3 linked regions of the Drosophila melanogaster genome follow. The gene in region 1 interacts genetically with each later gene. Each region holds a gene or a part of one and is shown on either strand. Other genes may lie near its edges.

Evidence for each region. A genetic interaction does not mean that the proteins touch.
Region 2: of Sirt1 (region 1) and Naam, changing one suppresses a phenotype caused by changing the other (phenotypic suppression), as found in Drosophila melanogaster (one study listed by BioGRID).
Region 3: of Sirt1 (region 1) and hdm, changing one suppresses a phenotype caused by changing the other (phenotypic suppression), as found in Drosophila melanogaster (one study listed by BioGRID).

The regions. Positions count from the first base shown.
Region 1 is NT_033779.5:13,162,606-13,170,793, forward strand, and holds Sirt1 (sirtuin 1), read left to right. Parts: upstream 1-2,958; 5' UTR 2,959-3,385; coding exon 3,386-4,595; intron 4,596-4,774; coding exon 4,775-6,036; 3' UTR 6,037-6,946; downstream 6,947-8,188. Other genes in the region: kmg (kumgang), read left to right, coding at 1-501; DnaJ-H (DnaJ homolog), read right to left, coding at 945-1,598, 1,711-2,157, 2,220-2,288; Sfmbt (Scm-related gene containing four mbt domains), read right to left, coding at 7,847-8,179. UniProt on the Drosophila melanogaster protein: NAD-dependent histone deacetylase involved in heterochromatic silencing. Mildly suppresses the heterochromatin-mediated silencing phenomenon known as position-effect variegation (PEV). Required for epigenetic silencing of the polycomb group proteins.
Region 2 is NT_033777.3:19,668,862-19,675,566, reverse strand, and holds the start of Naam (nicotinamide amidase), read right to left. Parts: upstream 4,118-6,705; 5' UTR 3,824-4,117; intron 3,291-3,823; exon of another isoform or gene 3,218-3,290; intron 1-3,217. Other genes in the region: CG7432 (uncharacterized protein), read right to left, coding at 4,947-5,005, 5,067-5,166, 5,227-5,539, 5,593-5,703, 5,760-6,705.
Region 3 is NC_004354.4:7,916,900-7,922,870, forward strand, and holds hdm (hold'em), read right to left. Parts: upstream 3,233-5,971; coding exon 2,317-3,232; intron 2,266-2,316; coding exon 2,109-2,265; intron 2,006-2,108; coding exon 1,618-2,005; downstream 1-1,617. Other genes in the region: snz (snazarus), read left to right, coding at 56-424; YKT6 v-SNARE, read left to right, coding at 3,777-3,901, 3,991-4,465. UniProt on the Drosophila melanogaster protein: Single-stranded DNA-binding protein required for meiosis. May be involved in the resolution of recombination intermediates into crossovers in the meiotic recombination pathway.

The DNA of each region.
Region 1 (8,188 bases):
ACCAAGCACATCCGTTTGAAGGCCCTCCGCGATAGATCCCATAACCAGGCCCAGGTGCTGATGAACGATGAGACCGGTAGGCGCAACTACGCCAAGTACAATCAGTATCTGACTATGATGAAGGTAAGCGCCGAACAATTGGCCGATTCGAAGGGAATGCGCACGGGTGAAATGATTGTGATGCCGCCGGAGAAGCTAGACGACCATCATCCCATGGAAACGGAGGAGATCATCGAGATGGTGGATAGTGCTCATTCGACCTCGGCACTGGATTTACGAAAGCCCAGGGATGACCAGACGGAGGACTTGGCAGGCAACAGCGATGAGCTGCCGCAAGAGGGAGCCAAGACGGAGCCAAATTTAGAACCCTTGTCATTTAAATCATTGAATTCATCACAAGTCATGCCAAAGCCCAAAGGGTCGCCTATGAATTTGACCAAGACAGATGGTGGTCAATCAGACGAAACGACATCCGCTGATGAATCCAATGAAAGCGATTAAAACGGATCTTTCGAATCTTTGAATACTCAATTCTCAGCAACAATATTAAAAATTAAATAAAAATACGTAAATCGATTTAAATTTATCCGGTTTTTAAGATTTCTATGAGAGAACTATTATTGTGTATTCGTTTATAGTTTTGTAGGGATAATTGGGGCAAGTTCAGCCCAAAAAATAGGTACCAATAAATAAGTAGTTAATAGTTAATTTAGCGTGGCTAATGTATTAGTGACAGATCAGCTAAGCTTTAGTCTCGAATAATAACACTACGAATTTAGATCACGCGCTTTTCACAGCAAACATTCCTGTATGAAAAATAATACTATGCATATCAGGACGAACAGCGGCACCAGGAAGCAGACTTCATCTACGCTGAAAGTGCCCAGGATGAGCCACAAATCGAGGCAGAGATACCGCGCCTGCAGGAGCCACAACCACATGCACTAAGCCGTCTGGCACTGTACGCCCTCAAAGTGAGACGACTGTCCGTCCTCGTCTTCCTGCTGTCGTGGCTGCGGCTTATAGTCCGTCATTTGCACTTCCTCGGCGTTCTTTGGGATCACTATCGGCTGTCTGGGAGGGAGTAAGTCCTCCAGCATGGCCAACTGCGGTGCCGTGGCAAAGTCGTTGTCCGGAAACTTAACCTTAAACTTCATGTAGAGATCTCCACTGTCGGTGGCCTTGTTAAAAACAGGCATACCACTGCCTCGCACCATCTTGATCTGGTTGTGCTGCAACACTTCACCAGGGTACGTGCGCAGACAGACGTTTCGTCCATCCAAGTGCTTGAAACAATGCGAGTAGCCGCACAAGGCCTCCGTGATGTTGATCTCCAGGTCTCGCATGTACAGATTGGCATGGCGGCGCTGAAAGATTGGATGTTCCATCTGGGAGATGACTACAATCAGATCCCCAAATTCGCCGCCTCGCATTTGGTGGCCCTCATTTGCGAAGGGAACTTTTAGCATGTGCGGTGCTCCTCGCTCCACAACCAGGTCCCGCTTCATCTTCTGCTCTACGAAACCACTGCCCTGGCAGGGACTGCACTTCTTGTCGTCCCTTATGGTGAAGCCCCTGCCATCGCAAGTCGGACAGGTCTGCAAAAAAAAATAATTTAAATAATCTGCTCCGAAGTGTGGTATATGGGATCTCCACGGATGTGTGGTCCGCGGTGTGCATTCACTACAACTACAATCAATTCTTACATACCGTATCGAAGGGGCTGAGACCCATGAAGGTAAATGCGGCCGCTCGTCCAGCTCCGCCGCAGGTCTCGCAGCTCTCGTGCGCTTCCTTGGGACCGCCATCGCCGTTACACTTGGAGCACAGCTTCTGGCGATTGTACTCCACCTTCTTCTTCATGCCGCCGACGTAGATCTCCTCCAGGGTCAGCTCCACTTTTACCACGACTTTGCCATTGCGCCTGCCCCGACCTTCGGACGAGACTCGATCGAAGGGGAACCACTGGGCGAAGAATTCGGAGGCATCAGAGAATCCCTCGGCGCCCTCTTGCAGGCCCTTCAATCCATATCGGTCGTAGATGCGCCGCTTCTCGGGATCGGACAGCACTTCGTAGGCGAAGGATATTTCTTTAAACTTGTCGCCCGCATCGGGATTCTTGTCTGGATGGAACTCTTTTGCCAATTTTCGGTAGTTCTATTGGTGAAAAGGTGAATACAAACTATTTACCAACATATCGAATTGGAACTGTTACATACCTTTTTTATTTCCTCATCAGTTGCATCCGGAGCCACTTTAAGAACGTCGTATAAATTTAGGTTGTCCATTTCCTATTGCATCCCCAGTCCCCCTACAAACTAAAATATTTTGTACATTGTAAGTGTACGACTTATTAAATTATTTAACAATGTATTTATGACAATATTTTCAAGTCATATTGGCTAACAAGTATGCCCAAGTTCTACCAAAAACCTATAATTTTGGGGAAAGTACCAAATAAATACTTAAAATCGCAGCTTTTTTGGGGAACAGTAGACACTTGCTGGAACGTTCTGGAAATCTGTTTACACATTTTTGTATTTAACAGCTTGATGGAAGTTTTTGGACATATGAACTGCATATTATCAATACATCAATTTATAATACTACTATGAAATGTGTAAATATTGGACAAAAAAATTATTTTTACTTAATTGTTTAAATATCGAGTAAATTTGATAAGTAAAAGAGTGCTAAAATTAAAGTTCGAAGCATAATTTAAAATTAATTTTACTAACTTTTTGACAAATTATTGATATATTTTAAACAGTTTTTAAAGAAATGGATTAAATTAGATATGACATAAGGCAGTGGCCACTGTAGCAACACGTAATCACCCTCAAAAATCCCAAAAAATACTAAAAACATACCGTGATGAGTCATGCTGGCGGCACTTTCCATGCAGAAACGCGTTAGCACTTTCCACACGACGTGTCAGGGTCCCACCCGAATCACGTCTGCCAGCCCACATACACACACAGGCGCAGCTACGTGTGCCATCTTGCTTTTTTCATCGGAAAATTTTCCAGAAACTACGCTCGAAAATTACGAAAAAATCGCAACCAAATGGTGTCGAAATTTTTTTAAAATTTAAGTTTCGTGCATATACGTGAAATAAAGTCGGGTTGGTTGAAAAAATCGCGGCCAAACGATCGCTGGAGAATTTTTTCAATCAAGCCAAATGGGTGCGAAGCTGACGACGTAAAAATTTTTGTGTGTACCAACGAAAGAGCGGAGAAAACGGACGAGGCGAGAGCGCAAAGCGGAGAGACCGAGGAAACACTCGCGCAAGAAGAAGAAGAGCCAGCAACAGCACCAACTACGAGAGTTTTCTCTCCGTGAGTCTGTGTGTGTGCGCGTGTGCGCGCGCTTGGGTTCGGAAAAAATGATGGAAAATTACGAGGAAATTCGCCTGGGCCACATTAGGTCTAAAGATCTGGGCAACCAGGTGCCAGACACTACGCAATTCTATCCGCCAACTAAGTTTGATTTTGGCGCGGAAATTCTGGCCTCAACGTCAACAGAGGCAGAGGCAGAGGCAGAAGCAACAGCAACAACCACAGAACCAGCAACAAGCGAACTTGCTGGCAAAGCAAATGGTGAAATCAAAACAAAAACATTGGCTGCCAGGGAAGAACAAGAGATTGGCGCCAATTTGGAGCATAAAACCAAAAATCCCACAAAGTCAATGGGCGAGGATGAAGATGACGAGGAGGAGGAGGAAGAGGACGATGAGGAGGAGGAGGAGGACGACGAGGAGGGAATCACCGGAACGAGCAACGAGGATGAGGACTCCAGCTCAAATTGCTCCTCATCCGTGGAACCCGACTGGAAGCTGCGCTGGTTGCAACGAGAATTTTACACAGGTCGTGTGCCGCGCCAGGTTATTGCCAGCATTATGCCGCATTTCGCCACCGGCCTGGCGGGCGACACCGACGACTCCGTGCTGTGGGACTATTTGGCCCACCTGTTGAACGAGCCGAAGCGGCGCAACAAGCTGGCCTCAGTGAACACCTTCGACGATGTCATCAGTTTGGTCAAGAAATCACAGAAGATCATTGTGCTAACGGGAGCCGGAGTATCCGTCTCCTGCGGCATTCCGGACTTCCGGTCCACCAATGGCATATATGCGCGATTGGCCCATGATTTTCCCGATCTGCCCGATCCGCAGGCCATGTTTGATATCAACTACTTCAAGAGGGATCCACGACCGTTCTACAAGTTTGCCCGCGAGATATATCCCGGCGAGTTTCAGCCCTCACCCTGCCATCGTTTCATCAAAATGCTGGAGACCAAGGGCAAACTGTTGCGCAACTACACACAGAACATCGACACCCTCGAGCGGGTGGCAGGCATTCAGCGAGTAATCGAGTGTCACGGCTCCTTTTCAACGGCCTCGTGCACCAAGTGTCGTTTCAAGTGCAACGCTGACGCCCTGCGGGCGGACATATTTGCCCAGCGAATTCCGGTGTGCCCGCAGTGCCAGCCCAATAAGGAGCAGAGCGTGGATGCCTCGGTGGCCGTTACTGAGGAGGAGCTGCGCCAACTGGTCGAGAACGGCATCATGAAGCCGGATATCGTCTTTTTCGGCGAGGGTAGGTGCCATTTTTATACAGATTTATTATATATTATCAATAGCCTTGGTAAAATAAATGCAAGAATTTCAAATTCGACGATCAAAAGAAGTGTTTATTTAAGAGATAAACTATTGAAAATACAAAGTAACGCTATTTACCATATATCATATTGTGTTTGCTTTTCATATTGCCAACAGGACTGCCGGATGAGTACCACACGGTCATGGCCACCGACAAGGACGTGTGCGATCTACTGATCGTGATCGGCTCCTCGCTGAAGGTCCGACCTGTGGCCCACATTCCCAGCAGCATACCGGCCACGGTGCCGCAGATTCTTATCAATCGCGAGCAGCTGCATCACCTTAAGTTCGATGTGGAGCTGCTGGGCGACTCCGATGTGATCATCAACCAGATTTGCCACCGGTTGTCGGACAACGATGATTGCTGGCGGCAGCTGTGCTGCGATGAGTCAGTGCTTACCGAAAGCAAGGAGCTAATGCCTCCGGAGCACTCTAATCACCACCTCCATCATCATCTACTTCACCACCGCCACTGCAGTTCAGAGAGCGAGCGACAGTCGCAACTGGACACGGATACGCAGTCTATTAAATCAAATAGTTCGGCGGACTACATACTAGGATCAGCTGGCACCTGCTCGGATAGTGGATTTGAGTCATCTACTTTTAGCTGTGGAAAGCGTTCCACTGCCGCCGAAGCGGCAGCCATCGAACGTATTAAAACAGACATACTGGTTGAGCTGAACGAGACCACAGCCCTAAGTTGCGATCGTCTGGGCCTGGAAGGCCCTCAGACAACGGTGGAGAGCTATCGCCATCTTTCCATTGATTCCTCCAAGGATAGCGGCATCGAGCAGTGCGACAACGAAGCCACGCCTAGCTACGTGCGACCCAGCAATCTTGTTCAGGAGACCAAGACAGTGGCGCCCAGCCTGACGCCCATTCCACAACAGAGGGGAAAGCGACAGACAGCAGCCGAGCGTCTGCAGCCTGGAACATTCTATTCGCACACCAACAACTATTCGTATGTGTTTCCAGGAGCCCAGGTATTCTGGGACAACGATTACAGCGATGATGATGACGAAGAAGAGGAAAGATCACACAATAGACACAGTGATCTCTTTGGCAATGTGGGGCACAATTATAAGGATGATGATGAGGATGCATGTGATCTGAACGCCGTTCCATTGTCACCATTGCTACCGCCTTCACTGGAGGCTCACATAGTCACCGATATAGTGAATGGATCCAACGAACCGCTGCCCAACAGCAGTCCCGGCCAGAAAAGAACCGCCTGCATTATAGAACAGCAGCCAACGCCCGCTATTGAAACGGAAATTCCCCCACTAAAGAAGCGGCGACCAAGTGAGGAAAATAAGCAGCAGACCCAAATAGAAAGATCTGAGGAGAGTCCGCCTCCAGGACAGTTAGCAGCAGTGTAAACGTAATCTTAGCCCCTGCTAGTAGTGTAGTATTTATTTTAAATGCAATTCAAGCCAACTTGTAAACAGAGAAGCTGCGAAATCGTAGCCGAGGGCCATGTTACCAATTTCATTCCCCGGAAAGGTACTGGAATCGGAAACGGTAAACCGTTTACTTGTTATTTATTTAGAATATGAGAACACTTCAATTCCCGGTATCACGAAGTTTTCAAGAAATGAAACCGGATCCACTAGTTTACTCAATTCGAGGCTTTAGAGATCTGACCCTCGTTGCTTTACCACCAACCCCTTATGCCCAATCCCGTTTTGATATTTTTGAAAAACTCTTAGTTTATTTATTATCTCTCTTTTTCAAAACGAAACGCTGTAAATGTTAGTATTTTATTATATTAAGTTGTTATTGAGGCCTTTTTAGACAAACTAAAGAGATAAGCGGAAAGTTGAAAATCCTTTAGAAAGCAGGATTTCTTTGTATTCAAAGAGAAGCAGCGCCTCAACTTTAAATCTAGTTCTAAGCGTAACATATTCAAAACTATGCAAATGCAAACGGAAAAATACGTTAGTTTTAGTTAAAAACTAGACACAAACACTCTGTATATAAGCACTCGCCCCTAATTTGTATTGTACATGATTCTTTTTCTACTTTTTTGTGTTATCTCCTTACCATTTTATATTTCTATCGGTTATGGCAACTATTTTTTAACATTTATACACTCGCACCCACATCAAAATGTAACAGCGCATGGATTTCAAAATATTCATAAGAGTTGGAAATTTGGTGTGCGTGTTTGAAATGTTTATTCGAAACCTAGCATAAATATATAGCCACCAAACGCAGTGTAAACATAGCAGTAAGAATTTAGTCTATATGTCTTAAAAGTGTATTAATATCCAGAATATAAACCAATCTAAAAAAAAAAAAAACAGAAATGAAAATGAGTTTTGACTGTAGAGCACATATAAACCCAAAGAAAACCAACACATATAAAAGTTAGTCGGCGATATTTCAATACTTGCAATTTTGAATTCGGTTTTATTAAAGTATCTTGACATTAGCTGGTACCTTAGGGATATCTAAATACATATTTTATCATTAAGGTTGCCTTCTTCAAAAGTTTGCCTTACACCAATAATGCCCTCCTTGCAGAGATGTGTGACACCGGAACGAAGTTAACCGAAGGAGAGAGCGGCTAGTTAATCGTGGATCTTACAGACTAGGAGCGACTTCCAATCGCTCCGTTTACGACTGAAAGTTGAGGGCATGCTGCCTGGGTTATTTGCTTGCGCTTGCTTCTATATAAAATATGATATTCTTGGGTCCTATATAATCGGCGACGGCTTATTTTATGTACACTGTACAAGCCCATGCTATGCAATCTCCCCATATATTCATGTGAATACATGTGTTGCATGCATTGTTATTACTCTTATTTTTATAAAAATATGCGTGATTTAAAAAAAGTCACTGTCATCAATTCAATCATCTTTATACAATTGTTGATATAGAACTCTGACTGATATAACATGAGCGTACGCCTAAGGTCTACGGTTTACAATTTAATCGGTATAAAATAACGCGCTGTGAGACTTGAGTTAGTTATACAATTGTATCATGGATGGTTGATCCATTCTAGGCAACGTTTGTGTTTCGATTTCCAGTGCTAACAAAATACTTCAATATCTATATATCTATATATATATATATATATATTATATATGCATACGCAGTAGTGTACACGTATAAAAGTGTGTGTGTGTGTTCTATCGGTGATAACTTTCGTTTTGCTTTGAAAAAACTAAAATCCGCGCACTATAAAAACGGTGATTTGTTGGTCTTGTGGGATCTGGCTCTGCCCGGATTAACCTTGCACTTAAGCTGTGCAATAAGGTCGGAAATTTTCAGTGCTGGGCCCACCTTCATGCCCAACAGTGGCATGATATCGTCCTTGGTCAGCTGCAGGAGTCGCTTTCCGTCGATCTTGTTCCGGCTGAACGTGTCACAGTGGGCTGTGCAATCGTTCACCCGCAAGAACTGGGATACGTCGTACACGTTCCATGTATCCGGCACCAGCTCCAAGTGAGGTTCACTCGAATCGATGTCGGCCAGACGCGGAATGTACTTATTATTCGTCGCAGAGGAGTTCTATAGTGG
Region 2 (6,705 bases), on another chromosome or scaffold:
AGTTACCTTTTTGAAAAAGGCGACTAATTAGTGTACAACTAAGAAAGCGGATGGAATCCCAAACAGGTTGGACTACTCGTATTTCTTTTATAACCAAACCCTGCAAAAGTCGAGAACTTTTTCCTTCCTTCATTTTCCCCTGCAAAGTGCAAATGTTTTTTCCATGAAATATGAAGAAAATTTTGATTGTATAATTTAATTAGTTTTTTAGCACTCAACCGGTGGAAGGGAAACTCCATAAATAACCCATTAAGTGGCTGCGGAAACTTTATCTGCCGTCGATGGTAATCATCCCAGTTAACCGAAACTGCCGGGACTTCAGTCCATTTGAGTGGCTTCGTTCAATTTCAAACTGTTGTGGGCAATTATTGTAAGTTTTTCGCTTGCCATTCCATCTGTTCTCAATTTCGGTTTAAGTGCTGCCGACGCTGCCGCTGCCACGCCTTGTTTTCAATTAAATGAACACACCCACCGCCCACCAAGCACCACCCACCACCCACCACCCACCGGAGCTGTTCCCAATAGCTGGTTTCATTATTACCGAGTTGCCAAATACAAACAAGCCAAAAACAAAGCAAAAACAAAGAAAGCGTAAAATCCATGAAAATTGTTGCCGCAATATTGAAAACGCGCCGTATTTGGGTCTTCGTCGCCCCAAGTAGCCCGCTCCATAGTCCCTCAGTACAAATTGAGCAACAAAACCGCCCGCCGCCCACTGAACACCACCCACCGCCTACTGTTGGAAAAGCAAGGAAAACAATCGGCAGCAGATTAAGTTCATGCCATGCTGCAGTTACATTTACAGTTACAGAGTTCCAGGACAAGCCCGACGACCCCCTCTTTCATATTCATTTTTGTACACACTTTGTGTTATATGTGGGCCAAAACAAATGTTGCCCGAAACCGATTTTCACCCGAAACTGGGAAAAACCCATTCAGAGCATCCTTTCAGAGACTCTTTCAGCTTGCGCTTTTCAGGATCATTGGCAGCGGGTTCGCAATCGTTTTGTGTTTTTTCTTTTTTTTTTGGCGAGGGCCTTAGCAAACGTTGCGAAAATATGTCACAACATTTGTTACACATTTTCGGGTCAATTTTTTATTGCAACGGGCGACTCGACTGTGCTCGACTCTGCATAAGCCGGGCGCCACCCACATGATCCGAAATCTTGTCACAGCTGCTGGCAACTGCCCTACCCTGGGAAAACCGTACACATATCCCAAAAGTCCCATCCCCAAGTCCCCTTTGGCTCCCCTCGTCGAGTGCCATTGACACTAGCGTGTCTTTCAATTAAAATCCATTCAGCTGTAAAATCGTAAACAGTTTTGTGCAGAGAGCAGAACACCCCTGGGTCTGCTGATAATGGAGATGAGGAAACTATTTTGTCACTCTTAAAAATACAAGTACTACTGCCAAAGAACAGGAAAACAAAGTCGATCTTCTGTTACTCGAAGTTCCCGAAAGGACACCTTTAAACGCGTTTTTCATTTAGGTATAAGGACACAAAACATGTTCAAATAGATGAAATCTTTTTAATCAGGCTCAAAAAATTTGAAACAGGATCTTAAACCCAAAGAAGACATTTGGAGAAATTGAGTAAGATAATTTTAAATTCCGCCATAACTAGCTTTCTTTTAAATATGCTGTTCAAATAATTAAATGCCGCTAATGATTGACTTTCAGTAGCTATCTAATGCTTTCCTTGCCAATTGAATTTACAATAGATTTTTGAAATGAACCTCCAAAGCAGTGAACCTGCGTGACAATTCAGTATGCCGAACTGATTGGCCTTTTAGCTACTGGGTATCAGCACGCGAGGCAGCCTGAATGACTGCAAATTAATTATGCACAACAAACAGATGACCCCCAACCGGCGAACGGCGACCCGTGTGGCAAAGACAACAGTATATGTACATTTTCCATGTACTATGGCGCAGCACAACAACGCTAAGTCCGGCGTCTGCCGTCCGGTTTGTCCAGTAATTGTTGCTTTAATTGTTGTGCAATCCCCCAAACCCACACCAAAGCCCAATCCCGATCCCAATTCAAAGGCCGGAGCTCGGAACCCAAAGAACCCCACCCGAAAAGCCGTCACGAATCAGCCTAAGCTGAGGCAAAAAGGGGATGGAATGATCGGAGGCTGCTTCGCCAATGTCGACCGCAAATTAATTTACAACGTAAACTGCAAAATTGAAAATTATGTTGTAATTACTCAATTCTGACGTTTTTCCCATTGACCCAAATTTATGGGGCCGTGCACCAACACCAACTCATAACACATACACACACACACGCACACATATACTGGCGCACATACATATTCAACGCAAGAGTTGAAGGCGCTTCCTTGTGGACGCTTCTTGGCTAAGCTCTTGGATTTACTGACACTGAGAGAAAACACCATTGAATACTTGAAAGTTTTTCCGATAAAAATACTATTTAAAAACAAAAAAGCATATTTAATTTGCGTTTATAAATCAAACATAATTAGCTAACAAGTAAATGAGTTATAAAAATAACTTTATTTTGCCAAGTGTGTTATGTCTGGCCTCAACCTTTGTGCCAATTTAAATGCGTAATTATAACGAGTGCCAGAGAGCAGTTAGAGTCCGTTCTGGCCTGCATATTAATTACGTTCACGGCGCCGCACAAAAGCGGAGTCCTGAAAGCCTGAAAGGGGAGGAAATCTTGGCAGGACCAAAGCAGACAATAGGAATTTTAATCAAGGATCAGCGTGCTCGAATTTATTTAAAGGTGGGCCATCGGAGCACCCCACCCACAGTGTGCTTCGCTCCTGGCCCCTTGGCGCTCTGGTTGGTAATCTGGTCAGCGTGTTTCAGGCATGCCATGAATGCCTTGCCTTACCTTGCCCCTTTCCCAGGCCCTTCTATTCACAAGCACAAATGCCGGCCAATTGTGGGGCTCCGTGAAGAGGGGACAAATAAAGGCTAATTAAGAGCGGAATGACAAGGCGAAGAAATGGGTTTTCATTGTTGCTGCCAAGCCGGGGCCAATGTTATTCTAAGATGGCACAAACTCACGATCCAAAGGTATTTAACCTTTCTTCTCATAAACGTACTATAACTTTCTCCGTAAATCTTTTCAATTTTTATTACCTGAAACATTGAGATAAACTAATCACGTCAGGCTAAAAATAGAAACATAATTCCATTTTCATTGGTTTGCCTCTGGCTGGCCTTAACCGGCCATCTCTTAAGAGTTTCCGTAGTGTAGCGGTTATCACGTGTGCTTCACACGCACAAGGTCCCCGGTTCGAACCCGGGCGGGAACAGTCGAAATAGTTTTTTGTCTTTTTTTATTTCATTATTATAGTTATTTTGCGATAATATTAAATTTAACATAATATTCACATTAAAGATGCGTCATCTTCCCATTCAGGGGCGTTTAATTGGAATTTTATTTGCATCAGCACAATGTGTTCTAACCTGGCATGATAAAATACATATAATGTTTATTTAACAAATCATTTGATTTACAAATTTGCTCGCCTTAAGCCGTATTTATTTGAAGATTTGAAGGGCTGGAGAAATGTTATCTTGGGCGGACACTTAACAGAATCATAAGCTTTCGTCCCGGCTTTACATATGATATGTATGATGAAGCTCAAAGTTTGTGCTTTACACTGCCCAACAAAGATCGACACCCAATAATTATACGAACGAGAAAATAAAACGATTTCAAAACCTTTGGAACTTTTCATTTCACTAGAACTCCCTTGACTTTTTGGACCCGCGTTCTTATACATTTTCATGAATCACACTCTTCATCTTCCGTATAAGAGAGCTTTCTCTTTCGGCTACTTACCACGCGATAGTCCAAAAAAGCTTTGCATAAACAAAACACTCAGAGCTTTCAGAGTCCACGCACCGAATGTGGTAGCAATGTCAAATTCGTGATTATCAGCGTTAATTGTACAATATTATGATTTATTCGAGCTGTAAATCTTCACAGCAAGCACAAACTGTAATTATACCACTTAGAATTCGTTGATGTAGTCAATTTTTTGAGATAATACAAACATTCCCGAGAAACTTAAAGAACTCGCCGGTTGGAGGGAACAATTCGCGTCCGTCAGCTGTGAAAGCTTAATGCCAACTGAGAGAACCGGCATCGAGAAAAAAGCCTTATGCAATTGCTCACGTTTGTTTACCAAGTAGTTCCCAGTAAGTGATAAATAATAATGAATGAAACTTATCTATCATTTAGTCACTTCCCCATTGATAGTTTCCAGAATGTCTGAACAAAGGGGCATAGCTATCGAAATTATAGAATTAAATCCCCCCACTTTATTTCATTGACACTCGTAATTCCAAAAGTTACAAACTGTAAATAATTGTTTGCCGCTCCCACGCTTCGATTCATATAAACTGAAACGATTACTATTGTTTTATCCAAAGTCAATTAGCTTTGGATCATTGGCTTTTGATTGCGTAAGATCATTTTACGATTTCAACCACTACAATACAGCGAATTTTCTCCTACTGCTGCAGAGCATATGACCATATATGGAAAATGATTTTAAAATCACCATATACCATATAAATTCAGGCTATCATTTAAGAAAATCTTGCTAGGGAATGCTAGCTGCTAATAGGATGTATTACTAGTTAGCAAGACACAGTTAATTAGTAAGTCACAGTAATTAGTAAGTAAGCAGCAGCTTGAAATACCAAAATATTATATCTACGAATTTCCGGTGTCTTGAAACACTCTATATTTTGTTTACACATTTTATTTATCAAAATTAAATATAATATATATATTAATTTAGTCAACAAATGCCAATCATCATGGCGATGGGATGCGGTTAATAAATAGTACACTCCATTGATCAGGAGGGGAAGTTCATTAAGAGTACATAGACTAGTGCGTACCTAAACCTAGGCTATAGTTACTGCTAAGGTGGATCGGTGGAACGGGAATGCGATTAATCCCTCGTGTGATCGCGTATCCAGTCAAGGTATTCAGTGACTCGAGTATAGACACCTGGATGGGCATAAAAATTAGTAAATGCTCTTTAAAGTAATGTTTCTGTAGCGCAACATACCTGGATATCCCGGCTCACCACACTTGTTGCCAAAGGACACCACTCCCAGTTGAACCCAGTGGGAATCATATCGCATCATCAAAGGACCGCCAGAATCGCCCTGCAAAACGGTTAAATTAGTTTTGATCCTCTATGAATGGAAACTCCTTTATTAACTCACCTGACAAGCATCCACTCCGCCATCGGAGTATCCTGCGCAGATGAAGTTCTCGTTGATAGGCTGGAAGTAACTGCGGTCGCAATCCTCATTCCGCCAAATGGGCAGTTCCGCCTGTCGTTGGCTGGTGGACTCCTTACCACCGTAGTAGGTGGTGCCCCAGCCCACAACGGTGGCTCTACGTCCGGGAAGCCGTTCCTTGGGCGGCATCCTGATTCCCTTTGGCAGGCAGACAGGGATTACATACTTTGATTTCCTCACGGGCTTATCCAAAACAAGGATGGCAATGTCATTGTAGAATCCAATGCGGGAGAATCTGAGGATACACACGTTACCAATACTATTCACATTAGGAGGTCCATAACCTACCGCTCATGGGTGCGCACTTCCTTGACGGCGAAGGTCACGGGATCAGAGGGTTCCGCATCCGTTGACAGATCGATGTCACCCAAGCGAACCGTAAACTGTCGAGCAGCAAATCTAGAAGAAAAAGTCGATATTAGTGCCCATCAAATGCAGGACTCACTATGACTTACGGTTTTTGACGCGAGTCCCGCGTACAATGCGCAGCTGTCAGGATATATTTGGTGCCAATCAACGAACCACCGCACCAGAACTCCGTGCGCTTGGGTCCATGGAGAAAAATGGCTGCCATCCATGGCCACTGACCATTCGGAGCCTCCACTCCGCCCACAATCCTACCAGTTGAGTACTCCTGCTGACCGCACTCATCGGGGTCCACAATGTTGTTGCCGATCTCGTCCAGACCCTCCGGCTCCAGAGGCACCTCCGTCGTGGTGGTCGTCGTGGTAGTGGGCGGTTTCTTCTGGGGAATGAGCACGAGACCAGATGTGGGGCGCGTGGTGGGTCGAACAGTGCTTTTCTTCGTGGGTTGCGTAGCCTTGGTGGTGCTGGTGGTCGTCGTGGGACGAGTGGTCAGCCTCAGAGGTTTCTGAGTGGTCAAAACAGTGGAGGATGAGGAAATGGGGCAGCACACGCCCGGCACATAGAGACTCTTGAAGCACAGGGACTCTCTCAAGCTGCTGAGATTCAGCAGCAGAGCGGGACAACTGCTGAGATCCTCGCAACGTCCTCGCCTTCCACTTGGCGTTTTGCAGTAGTTTTCCACATCTTTCCCGGTTCCTGCCTCATCACTAGCCTCTGCCAACTGATCCAATGGGGTCAGAGTAATAGGTGCCTCTGTGGTGGTGGACGTAGTTGTGGTGCGCGGAGTAGTGGGTATCTTGATCTTCTGCTGCGATTGCTGAGCACCCTGGGCTACCGGAACCAGGACACCTTCTTCACTGGGCTTCTTGACCTTCTGCTTGTTCTTATTCTTCTTCTTTTTCTTCTTTAGCTTCAGCTCCTTGTTCTCCACAAACATGGGAGCAGAGTCATCCATACCGATTCTTTTAGTTGCCACTTGGATGACACTCAGATTCGCAGGCTTGCCAGCTGGTAGTAAACTATTGGCAGAGAGTG
Region 3 (5,971 bases), on another chromosome or scaffold:
TAGTGGTTTCAGTGGTCATATAGCCAAATATACAATTGGTATCTCTAATCTTCAGGAGCTGCTGGAGATACTTATGATTGAGTTCTTTCCTGAAATCCGACAATTGCGCGTCAGCAACTCCAATGGAACCAAGTTAAATACGGCTACTGCTGGAGCGGCAGCTGCATCCGCCGCTGCGGCACTGGTGGCTGCCACGGCATCAGCTTCGCTGCCCTCGCTTAATCATAGTGGTGGGGGTCACAGTGCATCCACGGGGGGTCACCAAAACCATCAGGGATCCTCGTCGGCCAGCGGATCCTCAGCTGGCGCGAGTGGCGCCACCGGTGGTGGTGCCGCCTCGCACCACCAATCGCATTACCACCACGGATCCCACCACCACCAGCAGCAGCAGCACCACCATTCGCAAGCGGGCAGTTCGAAGTGAAGTGAACTTAAGAAGAACCACTTCGTTTTAGATTTTACTTTAACCTAAACCCTTTTTTTTATTTATGTTATGTTTTGTTTGATTTTATGTTCAATGTTTAATGCTCTCCCTCTTTCTAACCGGTGGATATTGTTGATTTAGCCGAGGAAAGGGATTACAAAGAATAGTTATGTAGAACACAACACAACTCAGTAGTACCAGTATCATTCCCTGTACAAATGCAGACTTACAATCCATATGAATTCAGTTCTTGTTGATTCGTTCGTCCATCACTTCCTGTAGCCAGATTTGTTTGTTATGTGTATATGTCTGTACATAGGTCAGTATTAAGCGTTGTACCAAATCGTTGTTTATATACTCGTATAGTAAATTGTGACACTCAGTTTGGATTGATTTTAATTATAGTTTAGTAGCAGATATTGAGCCCAAAGTTGCGTCTGCAGCTGGCGTTGAGTCGGTGCTTGTGATTCCCATGCCGCGCCAGCTGTAGATCCATCCTCCCCCCAAAAATATTATAGAAACACAACAGGTGAGATTAGTTTGAGGCAAGCTAATGGGCGTCCAGAACAGTGCGTTCCATGGCCATAAAGCAACTTCCGTATTGACACACATTGTATTCTTTTTCGAATTTGTATTAAAATGATTCAATTGTTGCACATCGATAACCATCAATTAAAAATTGTATTTGAAATTTCCTAATTGACCAAAATTGGTAATGGTATCAAATAATCTTAAAGACTAAGCGTTGATTGAGGCTGTCTTAAAAAACAGAACGTTTGATAACACAATAAAACAGTCGCAAGTCAGGACTTTAAAGAAGCATTAATCCTTAAGCATTTGTGGTTATCCAAATGCATTTTGATACCATGTTAAAACACACAACTCGAAATTACAACATTTAGAATTGACCCAAAATCAGTTTTGTGGACCTGAAACGCCCCGTAGACACCCACCCACCACCACCACGACCCAAAGACACCGGCACCTTCTGTAACACTAGGCAAAATGACACTTAGATGATTCATCCCCAATGAGCCAAACGTATCCCACTTAGGACCCACATTAAGAGTTTCGAGGCGCTTTCAATCTATTTATGTATTGCAGTTGTACACTTTTATGTGAAAATGCGAAATAAAGATCGCTATTTATGTAGATGGTTCACCAGTATTTTGATGGGACCACCCCACATACACTTAGAAAACGACCATATTTGCGACAAGCTTTTCCAGGGGAATGGCTTGCATGTCGACGACCACAATGACGAGATGATTGCGCACTCCCACCGGCTTTTTGATCATCAATCTTACCTCGAAGTATTTCAGCAGAAAGCGCCACTTTAGCTCGCTTTTCTCGCGCTCCGCCAGTCGCTCGAAGTCTTCAGCCCGAAGTCCCAGGATACGTTCTGCCGGATGTCCAGCTAACCGGGCTTCGACGAGAGTGCCGGTCTGGTCGGACAAATGAATGTTGATATTGAAGTAGCTAATGGATCGTGGTTCATCATTGTCCAATGAAAAATACTGCTGGCAGGCGTCCGAGGCGCAATCTTGCAGGTTCCGTGGTATATGTTGTTGACAGGCAATGCTGTAAAATAAAAGGGCTTTTAAGAATATGTCTTGTAAACTATGTAACGGATAGTGGGAAGCGTTTCGGCGGTTAGGAAGGGATGGGGATGTACAACACCCACCACTTCCTGTTGACGTGGGAGGTCAATCCATCCAAGTCGAACTTGGTGACCATCCCATACAGCACTGCAGTAAACTGATGTATGGACGGATCCTGCAGTTCGCCCTCGGCGCGTGAATATATCTGTCTTACCGTCATCTGCGCCTGAATGCTGGCAACTGAAAGAGTTATAGTAAATAATAATACTGCATTAATTATCCTTTACTCACCTGCAGGCATGTTGTCCAGCTCTGCCTGGTCACAGCCACTAAAAGTTGTTAGAGGCACAGTGGCGGCGAAAGCTAGCAAGAGACGGCAATCATCTCCAGCCGCCTGAGGATTTTCGCAAATAAGTGTGCAATTGGAATGGGAGAGGACGAGAGAACGATGAAAGTTCGAGTAGGAAACACGCACGTCGATCAAATGAAGGACAGTGCGACGTGGCTGCCATTGCTGGGCACGTTGTATCCAGTCGGGTTGCCAAACGGAGAGCAGCATACCTTCCGGATAGCTGGCATCGATCACGATTACTTCCAAGCACTGTAGCAGCTCCTGGACCTCACTTAGTGGCCCCTGCAGCTTTCGCTTTATCTGACGCACTGGACGCACTGCAGCCACTACTACCAGTAGATTCACATTGGTGGTGATTATCTTATCGGGAAATCCCAAGCCGGAACGCACATCCGCCAGCTTAAGGACCGCACCAAGTGGCCTTATGGGCTGATGGAGTAACTGCTGGAGAATTGTTATTTGGCCAAAGTCGTCATTGTCGTGGCGCACCACATAGCCGGATCCCTCGTTGACCACCAGGGCGCAGGAGACCGTCGCTTGGGGCTGATAACGCTGTTCTCCCGGAGCAGCAAACGGTATGGACATCACTTTAGCGCCCACAATGTCTACCACATGGCCGATCTGCAGCATGGCCGCGTACTCATCCACACAGTCCCGCTGGCCCCAGCACTTGCAATTGGTCAGGTGATTGGGGGAATCTCGGATGGTCAAGCTGAGAACCCCTCGTTCGGTGCCACTCATCTTGTCATAGAAGATGTTCGGCGAGGATTTGGAGACAATCAGGGCAACGGTGGAGAAACGGGTCATTGTGGGACGCATCTCTGCCAACCGCTGGAACTTAATACGCCTTGCCATTGAAATTATTTAAGAAATCGCGACCAGTCAGATTGCAGTGCTTAAGAAAACCGTTACATTGCCGTTACCGCCGATTAGTAGTTATCGATGTTTGTAGTGATGGTACACCACAAATGGCCGTAGATTCAGTTAGTAACAGAAAGTATTGCTAACAACTTAGTTTGATAAAAACCACAATTAAAACATTTACAGAAAGTTGCGCTTATTAATTGTAACCATTGGAATCGATAATAATCGGATGGCATCCGAATACCAGACGTACCATCCCTAATAAGCTGACACACACTACGCATATGTGCACCCGCGCACACACACACGCACACACAGAGGGGAACGGCACAGATTTACTGCGTTAAACAAACTCACTTGTCGCACTTTTCCACGAATGCCAGTGCGCTGAAAGTGAAACCCATCCGCCGGAGCATAGTAGGATTAGCCAGGACAACCGTTCAGCTCAGTGCCCCAGAAGCATTTAATTGGAGGAGCAACAGTCGAGCAACCCGCGACCCGCAGACCCAGTCTTGGCAGCCCACAGCCACTCAAAATGGTCAAACTATTCGCGTTGAGCATCTTTCACAAGGGCGCCAGCGAGGCGCGTCTCCTGAAGACCGCCTCGGACCTGCAGTCCTTCTCCTTTTTCCAACGTGGCACCGTCAACGAGTTCATGACGTGAGTATGCATGTGGATGCCAAAGAACGGCGCAGGCTCAAAGAGTCATCAATGACGAACACCCCCCTAAACAACTCCTCCTCTTGCAGTTTCGCTTCGAAGACGATTGTGGAGCGCACACAGCCGGCCCTGCGGCAATCGGTGAAACAGGATGCCTACATGTGTCATGTCTATGTGCGGGCGGACAATCTGGCCGGTGTACTGATCGCCGATCATGAGTATCCGCATCGCGTGGCGCACACGCTTATCACAAAGATTCTGGATGACTTTACGGCCAAGGTGTCGGCCGATCAGTGGCCCAATGGCACGGAGGCCACTATCTCATTTGACTTGCTGCCAGCGTTTCTAGCACGCTATCAAAATCCCGTCGAAGCAGATCCGCTGACGAAAATGCAAAACGACCTGGACGAAACGAAGATCATACTGAAGAATACCATCGAGGCGGTGCTGGAGCGGGGCGAGAAGCTGGACGACATGGTCAGCAAGTCGGAGAAATTGTCGCTGCAGAGCAAGGCGTTCTACAAGACGGCGAAAAAGACTAACTCCTGCTGCAGCTTCACCTAGACGACAGCTGCACCTCTCATCACCCCCCACCACACGCTAATCCTCTCAAGCAACAACCACAACAGGAAACACCAGAAAATGCAAATCAAAGACAACACAAAGGATAATGGATAACACGATAACACCAACAAACTACAACCAAACAAACTCCAAGGGAGCGGTGCGACTTGGGCTTTGATGATTGCTTTTTATAAATGAATTAGTTAATTTTATATACTATATATATATATTATATTATATACTGTATGAATAGGATGGCCAGTTGCCAGTTACGATAGTCCGCTAACCCAATGTCTACCTGTCTGTATATGTCTACGCTTTGGATATCTAAATGTTAATTACTACCAATACAGATTACGATCTAAACCCATGTGCTTAACATAATCTTCTCTTCACTTATGTGTTGGCACGGCGGTCCAAAATTGGCCCTTTGCTAGCTATTGATGTTGTGGGCCTTCTTATCGCCTCCACGGCGGATCTATGTATACCAATCGGATCGGAAGGCTGCACCTATGTATACACATGCAGTCGCACTTCCGATCCGGGCAACTGGCGGTCGGAATGTGTGGGCGTTTCAATAAAGAAGTATTATGGGAAATGTGAACCAAGCTCGTTTTCATTGCTCACATATACAAACCTTATCTTTGTCAATTTTGGCAAAATGTACAAACTATTTGTACGAGCTCTGTACATAGCACATGAACTTATTTTTATTTATGTAATACGTACCACTTTATCTTAAGTGCAAATTCCATTCCTCCCAAAAAAGCAAAATCAATTTAAAAGTGATTTTCTGTTGGCGTTTATTTATTATATAGAAGACACCTATTTCGCTTCTTGTAAAGATTTCCGTTACATTTTTCATATTTATGCGTTTTCCTTACGTTTTCGTGTTTAACCTTTTGGATTTTGGTTATGTTTAATGGGTTCGGTTTGTATAGCCTAGTATAAGATAGGTAAATCGATTACAATTTAGTTTTCGCCCCCTCTCCATCGCAATTTTCTTGTGTGTTTGCGCGGGGAGAAAGGGGAGGCGGTGCATTATAAATATATGCATTATACTGCATACCTATATCGTTTCGTTATAATTAATATAATATTGTGTGTGCTAACTTAGCTTAAGCTGCAAACATTGATTCAAACGCGTTTGCTTGGCTTCTCGTTTTTTATTGATTTGCATCAACATTGTATGCATTTTTTTTTTGTGTTAGTGATCTATAGTAATATTTAGAATTTATTCAAATGCTTTCAATATATGCAAGTGTAAATATTAGTCGATGCAATGTTCTAAATGCACGCTCCTTCGAAATGGCTAAGAATTTGCATTTGTGTTTCCTGGTATGTGTATTTTTTCTTCTCAATTTTTTCGCTAAAAATTAGCATTGGTCAACACAACAAATGAAAATCAAGAAAAGTTCTCCCTTCTTTTCAAATCAGTAAAAAATACGTGTGTATGTGCGGCTGGATGAGTTTTGTATTCATTTAAAAACTAGTTTGGATAAATTG